Linked DNA regions of Callithrix jacchus. The protein of the gene in region 1 interacts with the protein of each later gene in a pairwise test. Links are inferred from orthologs where the notes say so. Each region holds a gene or a part of one and is shown on either strand. Other genes may lie near its edges.

Region 1 (7,556 bases):
CTGTAGTCCCAGCTACTCAGGAAGCTGAGGAATGAGAATCACCTGAGCCCAGGAGGTGGCGGCTGCTGCAATGAGCAGACATCGCACCGCTGCACCCTAGCCTAAACAGAGCAAGACTCTGTCTCAAAAAAATTTTTTTTGCATTAAATTCAAATAGCCACACATTGCACATGGCTACCATATAGGACAGAACAGCTGGTATGACAAAATGGACTGGAATAAAGCGTAAAAAAAACACTCTATAAATGCTAAAGCCCTACAGGAATGATAGAGGTTTTGTTGTTTAATGCATTAGAAATCTGAGCTTCCAAGAGGTTCCAGTTACTCACTTCACAAAGAGACTCAATTCGTAAGTGAAAGAAACGTAAATAAACACTGATTTTACTTTACTTGGGAAGAAAGAGAGCCCGTGCTCTTGTACACCTACGATGGAAATGGAGGTGGTTAACGATAACCCTTCACACAGCTCAGAGCAACAGGCTTTTTAATCCACCTTGCTACATCCTGATTTGGTAACTCCAGGGGCTACGCATGCAGCAGAATCAAGGCTGCCAGTGAATCCTGGCAGATGATATTCCTGTCTCCTGTACCCTCGCTCTCAGAAACCACATGCTTCTTGTCCCTTCTACTGACTTTTGCTATTTCTCCTGCTACAGAAACAGACCTTGCCAACAGCTGCCTGTACTGGGACACTGCATTGGGAGTCCCTTCTGAGCTCTGACAGTCACTCACCCAAATATATACAATGTTCAAATTTGCTGATGGGTGGTAAAAAAAAAACCACCACTACTGGGAAGGGGTGGGGAACCAAAGGGAGGCTGTGAGGAATGCCAACTTGTTTACACTCTGGTTGGAAAACGTACACGAAATTCAAATCGGGTTTTAGTTTCCAACAATTTTTCCCAGCAGGAAAGCCCTTCCCGGTCTAAACAGCTTTTCGTTACCATTATAATTATATTCTATGCACAAGCAGACAATAAAGAAAGGAGCGGGGAAGCAGAAGGGGGAGTTAAACTAGGACAGGAAAGACAAGAAATGGTCTAAGTCAGAGGAAACAACGCAACACTTTCCAGGACAAAGGGTAGGAACCGCCCAGAACATGTAAGAGATTCTGTGAGCTCATTCATTATTCTCCATTAAAGAGTTCAGCTAATTTTCCCCTCTGTCCTTGCAGTCACATTAAAACTCCGGGCTTAAGCATTGTGCAATGCTCTGCACAGACTCAGTTTAGGCCCCATGGAGCTTCCATAATGAAAAACAACATGTGAAATCAGATCCACATGCGTTCCGCCCACAGGTTGAGCTCAGTGGTGTATTTTATTCTGTGAGACAGGGAGCTGTCGCTCAACTCGCAAGGAGGGGAGTCCAGCAATAACCCTCCAGTCAGAACACGAAATTAACCAGCTTTGTGCCGGTGTGACACCACTTCAAGAACAGGAACTCAGCTCTCTGTACCTCAAGTTCAGTCTCCCGTCTGTTGATATCATCCGTGGACTGATTTAACTTCTCCAGTTCTCCCTGGTGAAGAAAAGAGGGAGAAAAAAAGACTTAAGGGATCCATCTTTTGTTTCCAGTATAACTCAGTCCATAACCTGAAAAATTACCCCAGCCCAATTTGCAGGACAAATGAAGAACCAGTACTAATTCTTAAGGCAAACAGCTGAAGCTTGGCTAGAAAAGCAAATGAATGTCAGCATTTCTGAAACCATTTTCTTGACGGTGTCCCTTTTGAAAATGTCTTAAGGGACATTTGGAATTTGAGGTCAAATATTCCAGGTATGTGCCTTCAAGTAAACCCCACCTGTTACAAATGGCTTAATGGCCTAATCAAAACAGTACCATCTGCCTTGAGCAAGAACTTTGCTTAGAAAACAATAAAAGACAATAAGCAAGGCCAAGCCAAAAATATAAATCCAGTGAAATCAAGGGCAGAATTCTGGTATTAACTCATCAGAATTATTTTTCTGTAAAGGGTAAAAATCTTTTGACACTGCCAATTATTCAACCTACTTAGCTGGCTGTTTTAAACTAGCCTTAATTCTCTTCCTTTAAAAAAAAATTTACAAACTGACATTTTGTGAAAAACATCCAACATGAACTTAATTCGTCTTTACTATGCAAACAAAGGATCTTGCTAACATAATTCCACACCAATAACATGCGATTTATTCCAAACCAATTATTTTAATTACAGCATTCCTAATGCAAGGATTTTTTCCCCACCTGATCTTTATGTTGCTAACCTGACAATTCATTTAAACCCCAACCACTGAGTTAAGTGAGCTTGTAAATTGATCTGCGCACCAAAAAGCAATTAAGGATCCAGAAATTACAGAGCATTTTTAAAATCCATTTTTAAAAAATGATTTATTGAAAGGGTTGGGGAAAACGGGTCTTGGAAAGGGATTTGCTCTGCTTTTTGTTTAGGGGTGAAGAGGTTAAACTGTCACTCCTAGATCTCTCTTGGAAATGGAGGCACAGAAAGCCAGCCCAATCCCCTCGCCGCCTCCACGCATCAGCTTTGCGCAGCAGTTGTCCCTGATTTCTGTTCATGCCCAACCTCACAACAAGGGAAAGCAGGGTTTTAAGCAATTTCAGGCCAGACAGAACGTTGCACCGGTGGTGACAATAAGCCGCTGAGTTCGCTAACAATGAATCAGAGAAGGAAAACGGCTCAGGCCGAGCACCTCCGGCAGGTGAGGACGCTGCACCGGGGCACTGGGGCCAGCCCACGCCGCAGGGGCGGGCAACGCCCACCCGCCCACGGTGCCCGCCGCCCACGCAGGCGACCCCTCCTCGCAGAGCGTGGAGGCCGTGCCATCCCCGCGGCGCCGTGGCCGGGCCAGGGGCACCCCGAGGATAGCAGGGCGCCCCCGCCCCCTTTTTCCCTTTGTTGCACAACAGCCCAAACCACTAGGCACTCTGCGGCGACCCCGATCCTGCTAGGGGTCTGCGGGGGGCTGCCCGCAATAGAGTCAGGCCGCATCCACGCGGGCATTGCAGCCTTCATTGTGGAGACGATGAAATGGAGTATACAGACCCTCTCTTGCCACCAGAGCTACGCGGTCGCCAGTCCCCGGACCACAGTCACTGGGGGCTGCGAAGTGGGTGTCCGCTTAGACGCCGACTCCGCAGCATCCCCGGCGAAGCCCGGATGCGGGGCGACTCCGCGCGCCCTACCTGGATCCGGGGGTCCACCTCTTCTTCCTCCTCCAGCCCCTGCTCCATCCCCTCTTCCTCCTCCTCCTCTTCTTCCTCGTCCCGGGCAGGCGGCAGAAGCTCGGCTGGCTCCTCCGAGCGGCTCCGCTTCAGCGCCGCGTCCATGCGGGCAGCCGGCACGCGCGCAGCGCACTGGGTTCCGGAGCGCCCCGGGAATCGCAGCCGCCACAGGCTCGGCTGGAGCCGCCTTGCCACAGCCGGGCACTGTCGGGGAGCCGCGGGAGCCGACACCCGGGAGACGCAGCTCGCCGATGCGGATCGCTCCGGCCGCAGCGGAGCAGAGGAAATGGGCGCGGCCGCCCCCTTTCTGCAGCGGCCGTCAGCGCAGCGCCCGCTCCGCCCCCGTCCCGCCCCGGCCGCGCGTTCCCCGGCCAGTCCCAGCTACCCAGGTCTCCGTCACAAAACCCCAGCTCCCTCCACATCTCCGAGGTGGCAAAATAGGAGAGCACCCACCCCCTTGTCACTTAGCAGCCCGGATATATCTCAACTACGCAACGCAAGCCTCCGGCTTTCGGGAGTCCCCTTCTCCCTCCCTCCCCCGAGGCGCGTTGAGTGTGCGGTGGGAATGTGGGGTGCTTTCACGCTGAAGTCGCTTTCAGAAACCTGCGCTCAGTGACCCTCAACCAGTAAAAAGACTTGCCGAACCCCTGTACTTACCAAACCACATTCCTCCCCTTGGGCAACCCTTGGGAATGGGGCCTCCTCAAAGATTTCCCCAGAAAAGGAAACTAAAATGTGTGCTCACGTAGACGCAGGAGTGCAGAGAGGAGAACCAGCTGCAGTTCCGTGCGCAACTGCATGGCCGAAGGCTGCGGCCCCTCTGGGCGCGCCCCATACCCAAACACAGAGGTGCCGCGGTCCTACCTGAATACCGAGGCAGCATGGAGAATGCATTGAGCTGGGATGCCAGTGGGCTGACACAGCCTTTTTAAGGAGGTGGCAAGTGCAACCGCTGTTGATGGGCACGCTCTGGCCAGGAATTTGTGAATTAGTGAGACTTTCTGCCCACCATCAACGAGTAGGGAGGTCAAGCTTGCCTGGCAGACACAGCACCCGACAAAGCCAAACTGAAGGGGCACGCTTCTGCTTTTATGTCAGGGCCACTGTGATGTCAGGGGAACACGAAGAATGACCTTGGCAAAGCAGGTGAGCACATGGCTGCCAACGTCTCCCTCCCTCCAGAAATGCAGAACGTTCTCATGTTCTCGAGGGAGGCCTGTGGCCCATCCGCTTAAACAAAATTGTCCACCAGTTGTCCAAAATTTGTGGACAATTTTGCTTAAGAAAGGGGCTTCTTTCTGAGAACCTGTCATCAAAGCCACCTTATAACACCTGTGTCTAGTATGACGTGGTGGCTCATATCTGTAATACCAGCTCTTTGAGAGGCCAGGACGCAAGGATCACTTGAGGACAGGAGTTCAAGACCAGCCTGAGCAATACAGCTAGACCCCCCCCCCCCCCCCCGCTTCTCAAAATAAATAAATAAATTTGCTTCTGGTGGTTTTGTCAGAAACTAGGCTAGAGGGTTACTCCTTGGGCAAGGCACCACCCCATACCCCGCTGGCACTATAGTCCATTGTCTCCTGGAGGTAGTGCCATGGTTTGTTTCTAAAAAGGTCAGACCTGTTCATTGCTCTTTAAATCAAGGATGAGTCAGCGTTTGAAACGCCTGTGAGAGGCGTTTCAAAGCTCCTTGCTAAAGTATAGTTGCTTTTGGTTTTCCAATGATAGATGAAGCCAGGGACAAGATAGCCATAGGCGTCACTTTGTGACACATGAGCCACCAGTGTTCCCTGGTGGCTTTGAATTGACCCTCCAACTGGCAGGTACTTCCTAGCTCTGAATAAAGTGAGAGGGTTTGAAATAAAACAGAGAACCGTGGGGTCAGCCCTGACCATGAGAAATGCATCTCAGCTGGCAGCACTCCGTCCTCTCCATTCTCATCAGCTGGCAGCACCCCGTCCTCTCCATTCTAATCAGCTGGCAGCACCCCGTCCTCTCCATTCTCATCAGCTGGCAGCACCCCGTGCTCTCCATTCTCATCAGCTGGTAGCACCCCGTCCTCTCCATTCTCATCAGCAAACTCCGAAGTACATTTCTGCTTAAGCTTAGACCAACATAATGGTTCAAAATGTACCTATGAGACATAGCCCAGCTGCCTAAGAACATCAGTTCAGACTTTCGTCATCTTATTTTTTGGAGATCTGGGCCAGCTATAGTGCTAATCCCAGTAGTGTTTCTAAAGTTAAAATAAGAAAAATAACCAGTCGACCTTCCGTAGCCTCTTGAGTTCCACATATGTAAATTCAACTAACCAAAGACAGAAAATATTTGGGGGAAAAAAACACAACAATTTTTTAAATCTATATTTAAAAATACATGGCCAAGCATGGTGGCTCACACCTGTAATCCTAGCATTTTGAGAGGCTGAGGCAGGAGGATCACTTGAGGCTGGGAGTTCAAGACCAACCTGGGCAACAAAGTGAGACTGCCTCTTTCTCTAGAAAAAAAAAAAATACAGTATGTAACAACTATGTACCTATTTGCATTACATTAGGTATTGCAGGTAAGAAATCTAGAGATGATTTAAAGTATACAGAAGGAGCTGCCCGTGGTGGCTCATACCTGTAATCTCAACACTTTGGGAAGCCAAGGCATGTGGGTTGCTTGAGCTCAGGAGTTCAAGACCAGCCTGGGCAACATGGGGAAACACTAGCTCTGCAGAAACTACTGAAAATTAGCCAAATGTGGTGGCTCATGCCTGTAGTCCCAGCTATTTGGGAGACTGAAATCGGAAGACTGCTTGAGCCCAGGAGGCAGAGGTTGCAGTGAGCTGAGATTGCACCACTGCCCTCCAGCTTGGGTGACAGCAAGACCAGTCTCAAAATAAATAAATATATAAATAATAACAAAGTATACAGAAGGGGACAGACATGGTGGCTGATGCCTGTAATCTGTCTTTTGGGAGGCCAAGGCAGAAGGGAGGATTGCTTGAGGCCAGGAGTTTGAGACCAGCATGGGCAACAAAGCAAGACCTTTTAAATTTTGTAATTTAAAATAAAATTTATTTATTTATTTGTAAATAAAATTTTTTTTAATTAGCAGGGCATGGTAGCACATGCCTGTAGTCCCAGCTACTCTAGAGGCTGAGGTAGATCACTTGAGCCCTGGAAGTCAAGGCTGCAGTGACCCTGATCATGCCACTGCACTCCAGCCTGGATGATAGAGCAAGACCCTATCTCAAAAAAAACACTTTTCTAATGAAAAAAAAAGTATACAGGAGGCTGTATACAGGTTATATGTAAACACTGCCATTTTCTACCAGGGACATGAGCATCTCAGATTTTAGCATTACAGGGGTCCAGAAACCAATCCCCCTGGGATATCAAGGACAACTGCATATATTCCCTACTGGCACATATATAATGCACGTAAGTGCACATCGAAAGGCCTGGAAGGATTTACACCCAGTGAAGAGTGGCTACCTCTGGGGAAAAGGGAGAAGGGAGTGGCCTAGGATTGGCTGGGATGGGGGTAGGGGATCAAAGAAAACTTAGTTTCTTGGGAATGTTTGTATTTTTCACAAGGAGAATATGTTTATGATTATTTCGTGGAATTTAAAGATAAATATAAAATAATACATACGGTTGGGCACGGTGGCTCATGCCTGTAATCCCAGCTACTTGGGAGGCTGAGGCAGGAGAATCGCCTAAACCTGGGAGGCAGAGGTTGCAGTGAGCTGAGATACCACCATTGCTCTCCAGCCTGGATGACAAGAGTGAAACTCTGTCTCCAAAAAAAAAAGAAAAAAAAAAGAAATGAGAAAGCAAAAACCACACATACTTTTGGGGGAAGAGCACTCCAGAGACTGAAGCAGCATTTGCAAAGGTCCTGAGCAGGGAATATGCCTTGGATGTTGGTGAAAAAGCAAAGAGATCCATGTGTGTAGGGCAGAGACAGCCAGTGAGAGAGGGAGGGAGATGAAATCAGAGATGAGCATGTGGGTAGACCACATAGATGCTTTAGGTCACGGTAAAGAGTTTGGATTTTGTTCTGAGTGAGTGATCATGTAATAATTCTGGCTAGTGTATGGGAAATTGACTCAGTGGACATTGAGGAACAGAGGGCAGAAGAGACAAAGGAGATCCATTAGGCCGATGATCAGCCTCTTCTGATTGCTTCTCTTTTTTTCAGCAAAATAATGAGCAAGGTCATCAGCTGAGAAGGAGGGGATGGGGGCAGAGGGCATTGGAGGTTGGAGGAGAGAGGCTTTGTGAAAGAGCTGGCCAGGAGAGTTGGTGACTGAGTTGACCATGGAACTATATTACAATTGCCAG
Region 2 (7,556 bases), on another chromosome or scaffold:
TGCACTCCAGCCTGGTGCCTGGCGACAGAGCGAGATTCTGTTTCAAAAATAAAATAAAATAAAATAAAATGGAAACAAGATTTTGTCTTAATTGCAGATAAGATGATTCTATTATTAACACAGTTTGTAAACCATATTCTAAACAAATTATCAAAATCCAAGACAGGATAGAAAGGATTCTTAATTCTACTGCTGGAAATAATATGGTTATTCTTAAGATAATATAAATAAAGTGATAAGGATTTAAACATGGTTTCATACCACTTCTGAGATGTTTAAAAGTGATTTCCAAATACCACATGTGCTCACTTAAATAAGTGGGAGCTAAACCTTAAGTACACATGGACACAGACAAAGGACTAAGACACACTGAGACTTACTTGAGGCTGGAGGGTAGAGGGTGGGAGGAGGGTGAAAGTCAAAAAACTACCTATTTGGTACTATGTTCATTACCTAGGTGATGACATAATCTGTATACCAAACCCAGCACGACACACAATTTACCCATGTTACAAACCTGCACATGTAACCCCTGAACCTAAAAGTTGGAAAGAAAAAAAAAAATTGTTTCATTTCATTCTATAGAACTGTAAACCCATTTTTAAACACAAATAAAAGCATTAGTTAACATCCTCCCTTCCAACCTTTGCTTGGCTAGCTTGGGCTCACTCTTTAAATTCCTGGTTTAAAAAAATCTACCTAGAAAGACTTCCTTAACTTCTCTAAAATAAGGATATGAGCTCCTATTACATACTGGGATAGAGATATAATGTAGGTTTCCTATCACTCTAGACTAGACACTAGATACTTGGTAGGCTTTTGCTGTTGTTGTTTATGCTTCCCCACTAGATGGTAAGTTCCATAAGGGTTAAGAACTGTTTGCCATGATACAATTGTATCAGTATTTAACACCTGATCATCTAAGTACACTAAAATATTTCTGGAACAAATACTGTAATTTTTAAATTTTTTCATCCAATTGTACCAATTTCTCATCTTTAAAACAGTTATTCCATGGCAATTCAATAACTATCATAATAACCAGACAACTGGTAATTTTTTTGTTTCTCAGCCTATACATGATAAACAAGACTACAGTTTAATAAAACTTTAATGTCATGCATTCAAACATGGAAGTGTGCAAACCGAATACAGGATGTTTTCATATCATCAAGAATTTTATTATTGTGTTTTCCACAACTGAGCTAAAAATTTTCTAAAAAAGCCAATTCAAGGTTAGGTCCTCATAACTACAACATAATTACAGTACTGATTTATTGTTTATGTTCTAGCTTATCTGGATATGCATAAAACTCTGATAACTATTATGGCAAATAGAAGACTCGTGTTTTGGGAGACAAGCACTATTTTGTGTGACTTATCTTAAATACATTAATATGCATAAATATAACTATCAATGGTTGGTGATTACTTATAAAGTGGTATGGTGAGAAATTACATGATTTGTAAAAGAATTTGTTAAAATAGTTAAACTTAGGATAAAGTATGGAAAAGTAGACACCTCTGTTGATTTATAAAATTAGACTCAGGCCTTTCATTTAGCCTAAAGAAAAAGAAATGCTATTTCATCTAAAACAAGCAAAACCCTTGAGCAAACAAATAGACAAAAGTCTGTTTATGATTCAATTCACTGCATCCCTAATAGTAGTGTTTGTATATCAAGAATGAATCCAGTGACCTAATAAAGATTTCCTTTAAGTGTTTCTCATACCACTGGTCATGACCCATTAATGGATCACAAACAGCATTTGCTAAAAATGAAATGGAATAAGATATAAAATATCAGAGGACAACACATAGACTAAGGGAAAGTACTGTCTCCTGAAACTTTTGATTCAGTTGCATAAGTGACCATGTAAAATGTATTTCTAAGTATGGGCTACAATAAAAAACATGTGAAAGCTACTCTCTTGCATGTAAGCCCTCCCATTACTACTTCTCCCAAAACAGGAACTCTGCACTGCAATTACTCCCAAAAATGAAAAGTGACCTTAGTCCACGGTTCTGACAGTTTAAGTTTGATTTCACAAGCTCTAAAATCAAACTGCCTCAATTTCAACCATTTCCTGAGTGAATTTGGACTTATTTAAGCAATCTATGCTTCACTTTTGTCATCTTGTAAATGGTTAACAATATCTCCCAAGTTGCGGTTAAAATAAATTAAATAATACTACAGTGAGTCAACACCTGTTTTACTACTAACAGAACAAACTGAAGGAGTTATAATATTAGATATATAGAAAAGAACAAGTTATCTTTGGTGCATTATCTTTGATGTTTGTGAGTGTGTGATACTTTGTATTTTTCTGTCTTATTTGAATTGTGTAATGTATAATGTATACATTTCTAATATAATGTTTCTAATGTATATAACATAACCTACATTTTTAAAATAACAATGGGTATCTAGGCAGTAAGACTGTGGTCCTTTCTTTTTATTTTACAGTTTTATCTTATAAACATATGTTAGGTGTCTTTAAGAGAAAATCAATTACTTGCAAAAAAAAAAAAGAAAGAAAAAAAAGACAAGTATGGGGTCCAGAGTTTAAGAAATTCACACTTTTTGAGGGAGAACTTTGTGCCAGATACTTCTCACTAAATGCTCGTAAAACATCATTTTATGATTTCAGAAAACTGAGGCAACGGACACAAGGTAAACGGTGTTAGACAACAAACAGTAGTCACATCAAAGCCTGTATCTCTTCCATCATCATATAACACATCCAAATATTCTTCTCCAGTTGTTTCACATTGACATATTTTGGCCTCCCCATCTAGACTGTAAACTCCTTTATAAAAAGGGAAACTTTCAAAAACTTCATTTACGTCTTTCATTGGGTTACTAAGACTGCAACAGATCCTCAAACACTTGTTGAGTTGTATTCAACCTCTTTTGATCTGGAGTGTCCTCAAGAGACATACCTTTGTAAAAACAAACTTTCACACAAACAACAAAACCACTCTAAAGCTGTCCAAATCTAACTTTATTCCTGCACACTAAAAACTAAAGTGTAAACATACTCATATACAAAGACTATCAACTACAGTGAGTTTTGTAATGAGTACAAGTGTCACTGTGCAAACGCTGAAGAATTCCTTGGATTCACATATCCCCCCAACCACGCCCCCCATCACCCAGGCACCATCAAAAGAAAGGAACCTCTAGTCTTCTGGTGAGATGTTGAAGAACCATGACCACGCCCCCACTTTGTCCCATCACGATAACCTGTTTTCCTGTCCCAGCCGGACCCAGCACCCAAACCCAAAACCCGTAATAAACAATTCAAAAGTCTCTGACCTGCAGCGAAGTGCAGGGGAGAAGACTTCCGGCCGGCCATGTCCTTTGCATTTACGTTTGCCGCGTCCACCAGCCTCTTTACCCGGGACACGTCCCCATTGCGACAGGCCTCCAGCAGTTCCCGTAGGGCCCCGCTCACTGCTGGGACCCCTGTCCCAGGTCCCGCTGCCCCAGGCCCCAATGGTGCTGTGCTGCTAACGCCGGCCGCCTCCGGGCTCTCCGCCAAGCTCGATCCAGGGGAGGATGGAGAGGAAGATGAGGATGAAGTCGGGGAAGAAGAGGACGACGGTGAATTGTTACTGCCAGCTGGGTTGGGAGCGACCCCAACGGCAGATGAAGCAGAAACCGCTGGGACCACGGGAGCGGCGGCGACGGTACAGATTGTGCTGGTGGTAGTGCAACAGCTGCTACTGTCAACCGGGTCCGGGGATCGGGGCCTGTCGGGCGGATCCCGACTGCCATCCCCCTCCGGCAGCGCTAGGCCGTGCCGCGGGGAGGCGAAGGGGGCCAGGCCGCCGGCCGTGGGGGAGGCTGGGGTGGTCCCCGGGGCCAGGCCAGGACTGAGTGGGGGAGGAGGTGGCGGCGGCGGCGCTGAAGCCCCTGGGGCGGGCTGGAGCTGTTGTTGATGATGGTGGTGATGATGCTGAGAGCGACGCGACGCCGCCATCTTCGGACTCCCCTAGCACTGTCACTGCGGCAACGGCCCCACCGCCCGCCCTCACTTCCGACTGCCGGACCAATCAGCATCCAGCGCACAGGAAATGATGCTAGGCGGGGTAGGCGGGGCCAAAGAGAAGGAGGGAAGTATTGGGAGCTCAGAGAACAGCCACGGGAGCGGGGCGGGGTTTTGTCACTGTGAAGCGGGCTTTGTGACGTGATGGCGGGCCAGATGGAGAGATTTGAATACTAGAACCAGCTTCTGCCTACATGGGAAAAAATTCCTGCATTTCTCACTTTCAGTCGGCTTTTCTAGCCCTGCTCCGCTCTGTTGCGAAGTCTACCTCAGTCTCGCTTTGCTCGCTCCAGAGCTAGCTGTTGAGATGCAGCTCAGAGCAAGCCGAGAATGTGTCGATTATCATCTATCAAGCATCCTCGTCTGAAAACTGGAACTAATAGTACCAACCTCACAGAATTATTATCGGGATTAAAAGAGGTAACATAGACAAAGCGCTCTGCCAGTAAAACACAACTATAATTAGCCCGTTGGTAAGTTTTTAGATTGCAGCCTTTCTTTTCCAGGTGTCCCCTTGAGCTCTTGTCCCCTCCCTATAATGTTTCTCACCCTATGTTCTTTAATTCCTCTTTTTGAAATACTGGTTCAGATGGCTAGGATTGGCATTCCAGCTCTGCCATTTGTTGTATATATCTGAGCTAGTTCTGTCATCACTCTATACCTGTTTCTCTCTTTAAAATTGAAATAACAATAGTCCAATAAGTGTGAACTATTAAAATTATGATTTTTTTTTTCCTATTCTGTTATCTCTGAAATTTTATTTTTCACCCTAAGGTTAACTAATTATATTCTTTCTTTTGAATTTTGGTTTAGCTTACTTAGCCTCTCTCACATCCCAAGGAGATAGAAACCTGATTGTTAGGCTGGTCATGGTGGCTCATGCCTGTAATCCTAGCTCTTTGGGAGGCTGAAGCGGGAAGATCACTTGAGCTTAGGAGTTTGAGACCAGCCTGGCCATGATGACGAAACTCCATCTCTACAAAAAACACACAAATTAGCTGTGCAAAGTGGTACATTTGTAGAGTCCCAGCTACTTGGAACTCTGTGTTGAGAGGGTCACTTGAGCCCAGGAGGCAGAGGTTGCAGTGACCCGAGGTCACATCACTGCACTCCAGCCTGGGTGACAGAGGACAGAGACCCTGTCACAAAAACAACAAAACAAAACATCCTGATTGCTGTCCATCACTCACTATCAGGTGTCATTTTTCAGCAACTGTTTTTTCTGTCTTTCCCCTACCTATGTATACTTTTTTTTTTTTTTTTTTTTTTTTTTGGCCATCAAAAGATATATCAATGAATGAGATAATCGCAGTGAGGACTCCATTTCATATCTACTGTTCAATAGTAAAGCAGGCATTGTAGAAGTATACACAAACATCATTAGTCCAATAGAGTGAACACAGATGGAAATTCCATGACCTAAGAGAAATAAGACTTAGATGAGTCAAGTAGAATATTAAAGCAGGTGATAAATTTTATCATGTGTTCATCGTTAAATGTGATTTGTGTGTTGTTAATATTCCCATTTAAATAAATAGATGAGTTTATTTGGAATTACTAAATACAATAAGGTCAGGAACATAATTGGTGTTACAAGTGGCATTTATTTTCATCTAATCTAGGGTTACAGATTATAATTCTTAACATTATCCATCTGTCTGATGAAATTGTGCCACTGTTCACAGTAGACACCTGCCAAATAGTGTGGCTGGATGGGCAAACTCACATCAGTGAAACTAAAATCAGTCCACAACATTCTTTATTCTTCTGGTTTTTAATCTTAACTCCTTGATGTAGAGCAGAGTACCATTGAGAAGTAGGGGTGGACCAACATGATACGTTAGATGTTCATAACAAACCATATGTCCCCTTGATAATGGCCTCCTGGAATGGGAAGCATAAGAAATATTTGGTCTCCCAATGGCCAGTTACTCATAGAAAGAAGTACGATATAATAATAATTAGGAAGTCTCTGCTGGATAGAGATTTTTAAAAACTAAATTGACTGAAACTATGCTGGAAAACCATGTCTGGAAATGCAGTCAATCAATTGAAAATTGCTTTTTTCCCCTCCAGTAGAAAGTAGTAAAAGTACTTAACATTAAGTATTTGTAAAGTTTAAGTTTATACTTACTAAAGTTTAGCTCTAAACATGGAAGGACAGATGCCATTACCTAATCTTCTGTGGCTAAACACAATTCCATGAGGAATGCACTATTATCATAGTGGAAAGAGCAAAGCTTGGGATGGAAGAAACCTGGGCTTGAAAGTCACATCTCTGATGGTTACTAGTTGGCTAATCTTGATAGACATGCTCCAGCTCACTCAGACTAAAATTTTGATTTTACTGTAGCACTGTCAGGAAGATTAAAAGCCTAGGTGTTTTATAAGCACTCTGAATGTTAGATCCACTCTCTTCCATGGCATGCATAAAGTGTTGACACGAACTCACAGCCACTATTGATAGCGTTCCCCTCTCAACTTCCTCTGTGACAAAGATAGGGGCTTGGAATAAATATCCATCATTTTGCACATAACAGGAATCTAAAGCAATGTAACATAGATTTAAGATAATTCAGGATTCTTTATAAAACCTATCTCCAAACTATTGTTGATCACAGTTGTGTAGCATCTTATTTTCAAAAGTGTTTTCACAAAAATCATATGTTGGCCGAGTACAGTGGCTCACACTTAAAATCCTAGCATTTTGGGAAGCTAAGGCAGGAGATTGCTTGATCCCAGGAAACCAAGATCAGCCTGGACAACAAAGTGAGACCCTGTGTACACACACACACACACACACACGCGCGTGCGCGCAAAGTATACCCAAGTACTACAAAAATGGGAGCACACAGCACTCTCACGCTGTACTGTTGACACAAAAGAAAAGCCACCAACTTAAAGGACACCCATGTTTTGGACTGTGTTCTCATGTTTGCTTTTTTTCCCTCTGGGGGTCACATGGATGCTCTGAAAATTACACAGTGATGAACTTGAACAAGTTCCATATTTCAATTAGAATTGGTATGTCATTCCATCCGTATACTTCCCATTGATCTTCCACAGTATTTGGTATTCTGGTAGTATTTCTACTAAGTCTAGTTATTCTTCTATGCCCTCTGCACTGCCACCTCTGCAGATCCACGAGTACAAGCCAGAGCTGTGGTTTGGCTGAGGCAGTGTCATTTCCTCATTTTGGTCTTACCAAAACATAATAAGTTATTTTTATGTCAGAAACGACTATGGTGCCAAGGGCTCGTATTTCTCTATAAAAGTGTTTAAAAGTGTTGCATTCTCTTAGTTGAAGTTCCATCCAGAAACCCAGGTGGAGATGTGTATATATATATATATATATATATGTTTTTTTTTTTTAAATAAAACTACAGGTGGGCAACAATGCCAACAGCTGCATCACACTAAAAACATTGTATCAGAAAACGCTTTACTTTAAAAAAAGGCAAAACAACTTATTGCAAGACAGGAAAATTACAGTAATTTAGAGAT
Region 3 (7,556 bases), on another chromosome or scaffold:
ACCGGTGATGAACGAAACGCACAGGATTGTTGCTCTTGGCCAAGGGCGGTGACTCACGCCTGTAATCCCAGCACTTTGGGAGGCGGACGTAGGCGGATCACAAGGTCAGGTGTTCGAGACCAGCCCGACCAATATGCTGACACCGCGTCTCTACTAAAAATACAAAAATTAGCCGGGCGTGGTGGCGTGCACCGGTAGTCCCAGCTACTCTGGAGACTGAGGCAGGAAAATCACCTGAACCTGTGAGGTAATGGTAGCAAGTGAGCCAAGATCTCTGCATTCCAGCCTGGGCGACAAAGTGATATTCTGTCTCAAAAAGTGTCGGTCTCCGGCCCGGCGCGGTGGCTCACGCCTATAATCCCAGCACTTTGGAAGGCCGAGGTGGGTGGATCACGAGGTCAAGAGATCGAGACCATCCTGGTCAACAAGGTGAAACCCTGTCTCTACTAAAAATACAAAAATTAGCTGGGCATGGTGGTGCGCGCCTGTAGTCCCAGCTACTCGGGAGACTGAGGCAGAATTGCTTGAACCCAGAAGGTGGAGGTTGCGGTGAGCCGAGATTGCACCATTGCACTCCAGTCTGGGTAACAACAGCAAAACTCCATCTCAAAAAAAAAAAAAAAAAAAAAAGATTGTCGGTCTCTAGGAGTTTATATTCTATTTGGAGGCAAAAGGGAAACCAACAACCAAAAACAAAGGCCTGATTTGATTTAGTGCTAGCAGGAAATAAAAAGGACATACAGTAGAAATACACAGGTGAGAATTACTTGGAGTGATAGGAGAAGGCCTCTGGGAGGTTGTGATGTTTATAACCATCCAAGTGAACAGTTAGGAGTTCTGGGCTGAGAGAAGAACAATGTTCTTGAGGCAGGTTGTTGTTTTCTAGGAATAGATAGAAGGCCAGTGTGACTGGAGTGTGGTGAAGCAAGGCTGTGAATGGTGAAAAAACGTTGAACGTGAGCAGGAGCCAGATGCATGCCTTTGTGGTGTACGGAAGAAGTTTGAAATGTATTCTTTTTTTTTTTTTTTTTGAGACGGAGTTTCACCCTTGTTACCCAGGCTGGAGTGCAATGGCGCAATCTCGGCTCACCGCAACCTCCGCCTCCTGGGCTCAGGCAATTCTCCTGCCTCAGCCTCCCCAGTAGCTGGGACTACAGGCATGCGCCACCATGCCCAGCTAATTTTTTGTATCTTTAGTAGAGACGGGGTTTCACCATGTTGACCAGGATGGTCTCGATCTCTTGACCTCGTGATCCACCCGCCTCGGCCTCCCAAAGTGCTGGGATTACAGGCTTGAGCCACCGCGCCGGGCCCAAAATGTATTCTAAGAGCAATGGGAGGCCAAGCAATAGTTTGTGGTACGGGCTTGATCTTGGTTCATTTGGAACCATACAAACCAATCTTTTCCCCCAAATCACAAGCCTTTAAATATTTGAAGAGAGCTAATATATTCTTCTGAGACCCCTTCTCATGCCCCCAGCTCCTCTCCAAGCTGGAGTTTCTCTACATCTTCTTATCCAAAGGATTTATGGATGGATTTCAGAACATCATTCCAAACGCTTTGAAAGTGAAGAGTTTTTCAAATGTAAATCATGTATGTATGTTTTCATTTCTAAAGTAAAAAAGTAGAGATGGGTCTTGCTAGCCTGGTCACGAACTCTTGGGCTCAAACCCCTCAGTCTTCCAAAGTGTTGGGATTACAGGTGTGAGCCACTGCGCCTGGCTGGTGTGTGTGTGTGTGTGTGCGTGTTTTGAGATGGAGTCTCATTTTGTTGCTCAGGCTGGAGTGCAGTGGCACAATCGCAGCTCACTGCCACCTCTGCCTCCTGGGTTCAAGGGATTCTCCTGCCTCAGCCTCCCAAGTAGGTGGGATTACAGGTGCTCACCACCATGCCCAGTTAATTTTTCTATTTTTAGCAAAGACAAGGTTTCACCATGTTGGCCAGGCTGGTTTCGAACTCCTGACCTCAGGTGATACACCTACCCTGTCCTCCCAAAGTGCTGGCATTATAAGGCATGAACCACCTTGCCCACTGGCCTGTATATTTTTAAAGGAAATAACTGAAGACTTTCTTTTTTTTTTTTCTTTTTCAGATTTTCACAGAGGTCCTGTAAAGATTATGAACCACTGAACATTTCTCATCTACGTGATCCTGGCTGTTGTTCTTAGGAATAGCAGGACACAATGTCAGCTTCAACCCAAGCTAGTTCCTCTAAACTGCATTCTTATCGGTGAAATGAAAATAATAGGGTTGCTATGGGGATTAAATCAGATGATACTCCAGAAGTGATCATTAATGATAAACCATGAGGTGTCTGCCACAAAGTGCCACTATTATAAACAGTGGCCTGGAGGGACAGTTTATATATACCGGTCCTTTAGCATTCCACTTTCACTGAGTGCCTGTTCTGTGTGGAGGACCTGGTGAAAAAAATCTGCCTTCCAGTTTATTATGTAGTTGAAAGAACCACAAAAGATACAAAACACTATAGACCAAATGCCCTGAGAGAGGAATAAGTGCAGTGTTCTGGGAGCTTTAGAAGAGGTCTCAGTATCCATTGGAGGAAAGTGCTTATTGGAATTCATATTTGGAGAGGGTTGAAAAGATGAACAAATGCAATCTAACACACACAGAAAATCAATACTACATGTACACATTTTATTCTTGATGACGTGGAAAGACCAGTTAAAAACACTGCGATCACTTCTATTGCCCAGCAGATACTTAGCAGTAGGTTTCGAGACAGAGCACCTGTATATTTTGTCCGGTCTGTTTACTATACATTGCGTGCTGGGCAGTCCTTATCTTTGTGTTCGGGAACAAAGTACACACGCCCCTTTCCGAAACGAAAGGCCCAGGGACTCAGAGAGGGGTAGGAGCCCTCACGGCTAGACCACACAGTGGGGGCTTCTTTACCGTAGTTCTTACCCCCTCTGCAGGCCCCACTTTGCCAGGGTTCGATTTCTCGGGCCCTTTCGCCCCTCCTCAGGAGTCCCCAGGAGCGCAACCACAGCCCGGTCAGGCGCCCTGCCTCCCTTCCCCACTCCCCCCGCCCCCAGCTTCCCTCCTCCTTCACCGGGAGCCGGAAAACCCGGAGCGAACCAGCCCAGCCCGGCAGCGCATGCTCAGTAGCGCGCAGGTTCAGTTTGCTAGTAGGAAGCTCCAGCGCTACACCGGCGGCGGCAGCGGCGGCACCTCAGGGCAGCCAGATTCCCCAACAACGACCTCGGGTCCTTCCCCTTCCCCGCGAAACCCCCTCCCCCAGCTCCGCCCCACCCGAGGGCTCTTGCGTTTCGGAGTCTCAACTGCGCGGAGCGGGCGCCGCGGCCAGAGCGTCCCTCCACACGTCCTCCCCCAGCCGCCAGCTCTGCCGCGGGGCCAGGCCGGACCCGGGAGTGCAGCCCCGGCAGGCGGCGGCGGTGTAGCGGGCCGCCCGGGGCGGCGCCGGCGGGCCAGGGAGGGGCGGGGGGGCCTGGCCCCGGGGCGGTGGTGCGGGATGCCGCCGCCTCCGGGTCGCATTCGTTCTCCACGGCTAGTACCCGTGTCGGGTGGGTGGCTGGGCGTGGGCCTCGCCCTTCAGCCCCCTCGCCAGGGCTAGCCCGGCTGCGCGGCGCCCGGAGGGGGCCGGGCCGTCCGGTGGGGCCGCGGCCCTATTCCGCGCAGCGAGCTCGCCCTCTCGCGGCTCCCCGGCCGGGCCGCCGCCGCCCCTCTCCCCGCCCAGAGGCGCCCTGGGGGCACCATGCAGGCGCAGCAGCTGCCCTACGAGTTTTTCAGCGAAGAGAACGCGCCCAAGTGGCGAGGACTGCTGGTGCCTGCCCTGAAAAAGGTGAGGAGCACGCCGGACCCCGCTTCCCGGCCGCAGCCCCCCAGCGCGGGCGCCGAGCAGGCGCAGGGGAAGGGCTGGGGAGGCGGGGCGCGCGCGCAGGGCCGTCTTTCTTCCCTGTCTCGCCGCGTCTCCGAAAGGACGGCGCACACGGGGAGGTCCCCCACACGGCTGGCTCTCAGTGTTGACATCCACCCGTAGTGTGGGAAGGCCGCGGGGAGCCGCGGGCAGTTGCTCCGAATAATCCAACCCCGAGAGGTGAATGCTTTGCCCTTTGATTCCGAGACAACGGTTGGAGAAGCCTCAGTTTTCAGTGGAGGTCAAAGCAGGCCACTTTTCCGCCTTCTCGGTCTTAGCCCGGAGCTGTTGTCAGCCTCATGTTTTAGGTGTCCAGTATGCTCGTTTTAGTGGCTTGAGAATGCCCTGGCCGTAACGCTTGCTCTAAGGAATTGCGAGCTCGCCTGCCAGCAGGAGCGTGGCCTGCTCCGCTCGTCCTCAGTAATCACTCTCTGTTCTCCTGATCTCCCCTGCTCCTCGGATTAACAGGGGCTGGTGCACATGCTACCAATTTCAGGGGTTTTGTTTTGTTTTTGCGGCATTCGAGATTCTTGGTGCTGTCATTTGGCTTGTTAAGAATTTTTAGTCTTTGTATGTTTAAGTTTGCTGTGTTTTTAAATGTTTTAGTATAATTAGGAAATGTTACATTTTTAAAGCTTCTAGAGCAACAGTGTACTAGACTATTTTTGTTTCCTTTTCTTCATTTACCTTTTCTACAAAGATTGCTTTACTCATCTAAGAGTGTTTCTAAATCTGTTTCTTGCTGCTCGAAGACTCTTTCATGTTAATTAGTTAACATATAGTTTTGCTTCTACTAAGAATGGAGATTATGTTGTACCTTTTATGCTAAGCATTAAAAGGTGTCTGATAGTGCTTAAAGGCCAGTAACTTTTACTTTCCCCTTTGCCCTGTTCTCTTGTCCCTCTTGCTATCTTACAGTGGAAACTATTTGGTTTGTTAGGAGAATTTGCTTATGTATTTCTGACTTAAGTTACTGACATTTTCCCCTTCAGGTGTCTGACTAGTCACGAACACCTATGTGATTTTTCTTTTTTTTTTTTTTAAAGAAAACCAAAAAGATGCCATATATCCTTTTCTTTTCTTTTTTAAATAAGATGGGGTTTCACCATGATGGCCAGGCTGGTCTTGAACTTCTGACCTCAGGTGATCCACCCACCTCGGCCTCCCAAAGTGCTAGGATTACAGGCGTGAGCCACTGCACCCAGCCGCCATATGTCTTATGTACTTTAATCCTTAGAAATCCCGTCAGGTTCTCACTACTTACTTTTGCTTTACCTGCAAGTTTGACTTCTTAGCGTGTAATGGAAGGGGTTTAGGAGGTCTCTGTGCTGCCAGAAGCTGATGTCCAGGTAGGGTAAGGGAAGACAGGGAAATTGTTTAAAAACCTGTAAAGGAACTCATAAAGCATTGCCAAATAGGGGCCATTTTGCTTAGAGGCAAAAACAGCTCCTATCCCGGGGGAATCACCAAGCTATCAGCTTAGGATCTTTTGAAGTAGTGGAAGAATACTGTAGGAGTTGACAGACCTTGTTTAATTCTGCCATGCTGGTGGCCCTTGCTGAAATCTGTCCCTAGAAGCATTTTGTTTGGCTGGCACAGTGTTGTTTTATTTTTAAATGTAATTAGTTGCTGGCATTTGAAAATGGGAGATATTACATAAAATCTGAATTTTCAGCTTTTCTTGAAGAATAGGAAGTTCTTGCTAGTTAGGGCCTGTATTCCAGCAAGGCACTAAACTGCTGGAGGTGAGTAAATGGTTGTCCTCTTTAGACAAGGCATGTATCTCCACCTTACCACAACCCCCACTTGTCCTCTTTGTTTATTTACGTAAACCAACTTTTGAATTTAAGGTAGAGATACTTTTGCAGTAAGTGATAGAAGAAGGTGGAAGTATACATAATCTAGCTAATGTGTAAGGTTCTTCCAATTCTTAAATAGCCAATAACTATGATTCTAAGACAAGATTGAAAATACAGTGTATTTCATATCTGGATATGTTGTCCGTAGCTCCAAACCTACATTTTTACCTGCCTGCTGGACATTTCATGTGGATATCTCCATATCTTGATTTCTTTTGATTCACTATTGAATTATTTATAGATGCATCCAACTTGTGCTCTCTTACTCTTACCTGAGGCTCTTTGGACATGCTAGTCCCCTCACCTTTCTTTGCCTGATCCAACACTACTCATCCTTCTAGACTTACTCAACCTGGACTATCACATCAGGGCTGAGTTGGATATTACTCCTTTGTTTTCTTTTCGCGCCCCATCCTAGCTGTGTGAGTTTTAAGTTCCTATTTACTTGTCTATAACTAGATTGGATGCTGTTTGAGAACAGGGATAGTATCTTACCCTCATTTTATTCCCCATGCGTACAGTGCTAGATACCTAGTGGCCACTCAATTTGAATAAATAGGTGAGGGGATATACAAACTAAAACTATCACTTCTGTCCTCCACCTACCATTTAAGTTTTTCTTAATGGCTTTATTACTGCATTTGACTGGTTTGAAATGTTAGAATCATCTCTGGCTTCTCTGTATTACTGCCCACACTCAGGTAGAGCCTTTATGTTCAATTCCTTTTAACATATTCTTCTAGTCTGTTCCCTCCTCCAACTTCTCTAAGTCTCCTTTCTCAGACTACTGTGATAATTTCTTAATTGAATTCACTACCCCTCACCTCACCGTCTGTTTCTCAAATCTCACGAGTTTTTGGCTACCTCTTAACATGTCACACTTGGAAGAACTGTTGATGTCTTTGGAATTTGGCCTATGCTAAAATGCATACTTTTTATCACGGAATTGACAGCGATTGATTTCTGGTTTATCCTGCTTTTCTGACTGGATTGTCTACCATAATCTTTTATCTTCTTTATTCTTTAGCCAGACTGGACTGCTGCTTTTGCTCAATATGGATGGAATGTCCCACTGTTATCTATTTCACTGCATCTGTGAATCTAAGTTCTATCTTATCTATTGCACAAATATATCATGCCTACTATAGATCAGGTATTGCCCTTGACACTCAAGTTAAAAAGGTAAATGACATAATCAGGAAAGACTAAATAAGAACATGATGGGAAGTAGCAGGGCATGTCTGGAGAGACAACTGGTTTGTGGACAGTTTTTATATATGTTAAGCTAAGGAATTTGAATTTTATCTTGTGAAGTTGGAAGCCATCAGTAAGGTTTCTTTTGTTTGTTTGGTTTGTTTTATTTGTTTGTTTTGAGACAGGGTCTCACCAGGCTGGAGTGCAGTGGTGCGATCTTGGCTTACTTCAACCTCTACCTCCCCAGCTTAAGTGATCCTCCCACCTCAGCCTCCTGAGTAGCTGAGATTATAGGCACACACTGCCACACCTGGCTAATTTTTGTATTTTTTTGTGAAGATGGGGTTTTGCCGTGTTGCCGAGGCTGGTCTTGACCTCCTGGGCTCAAGCCATCTGCCTGCCTCAGCTTCCCAAAGTGCTGGGATTACAGGGTGAGCCACTGTACCCAGCCAGTAAGTTTTAAGTAGGGGAGTAACAGCACATTTGAATTTTAGAAAATTCACTTTGGCCATAGAATGGAAAATGGTTTGGAGAAGAATGAGACACAAAGTGAGGAGAATAGTTAGAAGCCTAGTTTAATAGTCCAGTCAAGAGACAATA

What was found.
Region 2: the proteins of SH3BP5 (region 1) and TNKS interact in a two-hybrid assay, tested with the Homo sapiens proteins (2 studies listed by BioGRID and IntAct). The link is inferred for Callithrix jacchus from reciprocal best matches to the Homo sapiens genes SH3BP5 and TNKS.
Region 3: the proteins of SH3BP5 (region 1) and SOS1 interact in a two-hybrid assay, tested with the Homo sapiens proteins (2 studies listed by BioGRID and IntAct). The link is inferred for Callithrix jacchus from reciprocal best matches to the Homo sapiens genes SH3BP5 and SOS1.

The regions. Positions count from the first base shown.
Region 1 is NC_133518.1:54,144,281-54,151,836, forward strand, and holds the start of SH3BP5 (SH3 domain-binding protein 5), read right to left. Parts: upstream 3,499-7,556; 5' UTR 3,325-3,498; coding exon 3,181-3,324; intron 1,519-3,180; coding exon 1,456-1,518; intron 1-1,455. UniProt on the Homo sapiens protein: Functions as a guanine nucleotide exchange factor (GEF) with specificity for RAB11A and RAB25. Inhibits the auto- and transphosphorylation activity of BTK. Plays a negative regulatory role in BTK-related cytoplasmic signaling in B-cells.
Region 2 is NC_133514.1:30,238,487-30,246,042, reverse strand, and holds the start of TNKS (poly [ADP-ribose] polymerase tankyrase-1), read right to left. Parts: upstream 4,013-7,556; 5' UTR 3,987-4,012; coding exon 3,320-3,986; intron 1-3,319.
Region 3 is NC_133515.1:75,896,098-75,903,653, forward strand, and holds the start of SOS1 (son of sevenless homolog 1), read left to right. Parts: upstream 1-3,305; 5' UTR 3,306-3,741; coding exon 3,742-3,828; intron 3,829-7,556.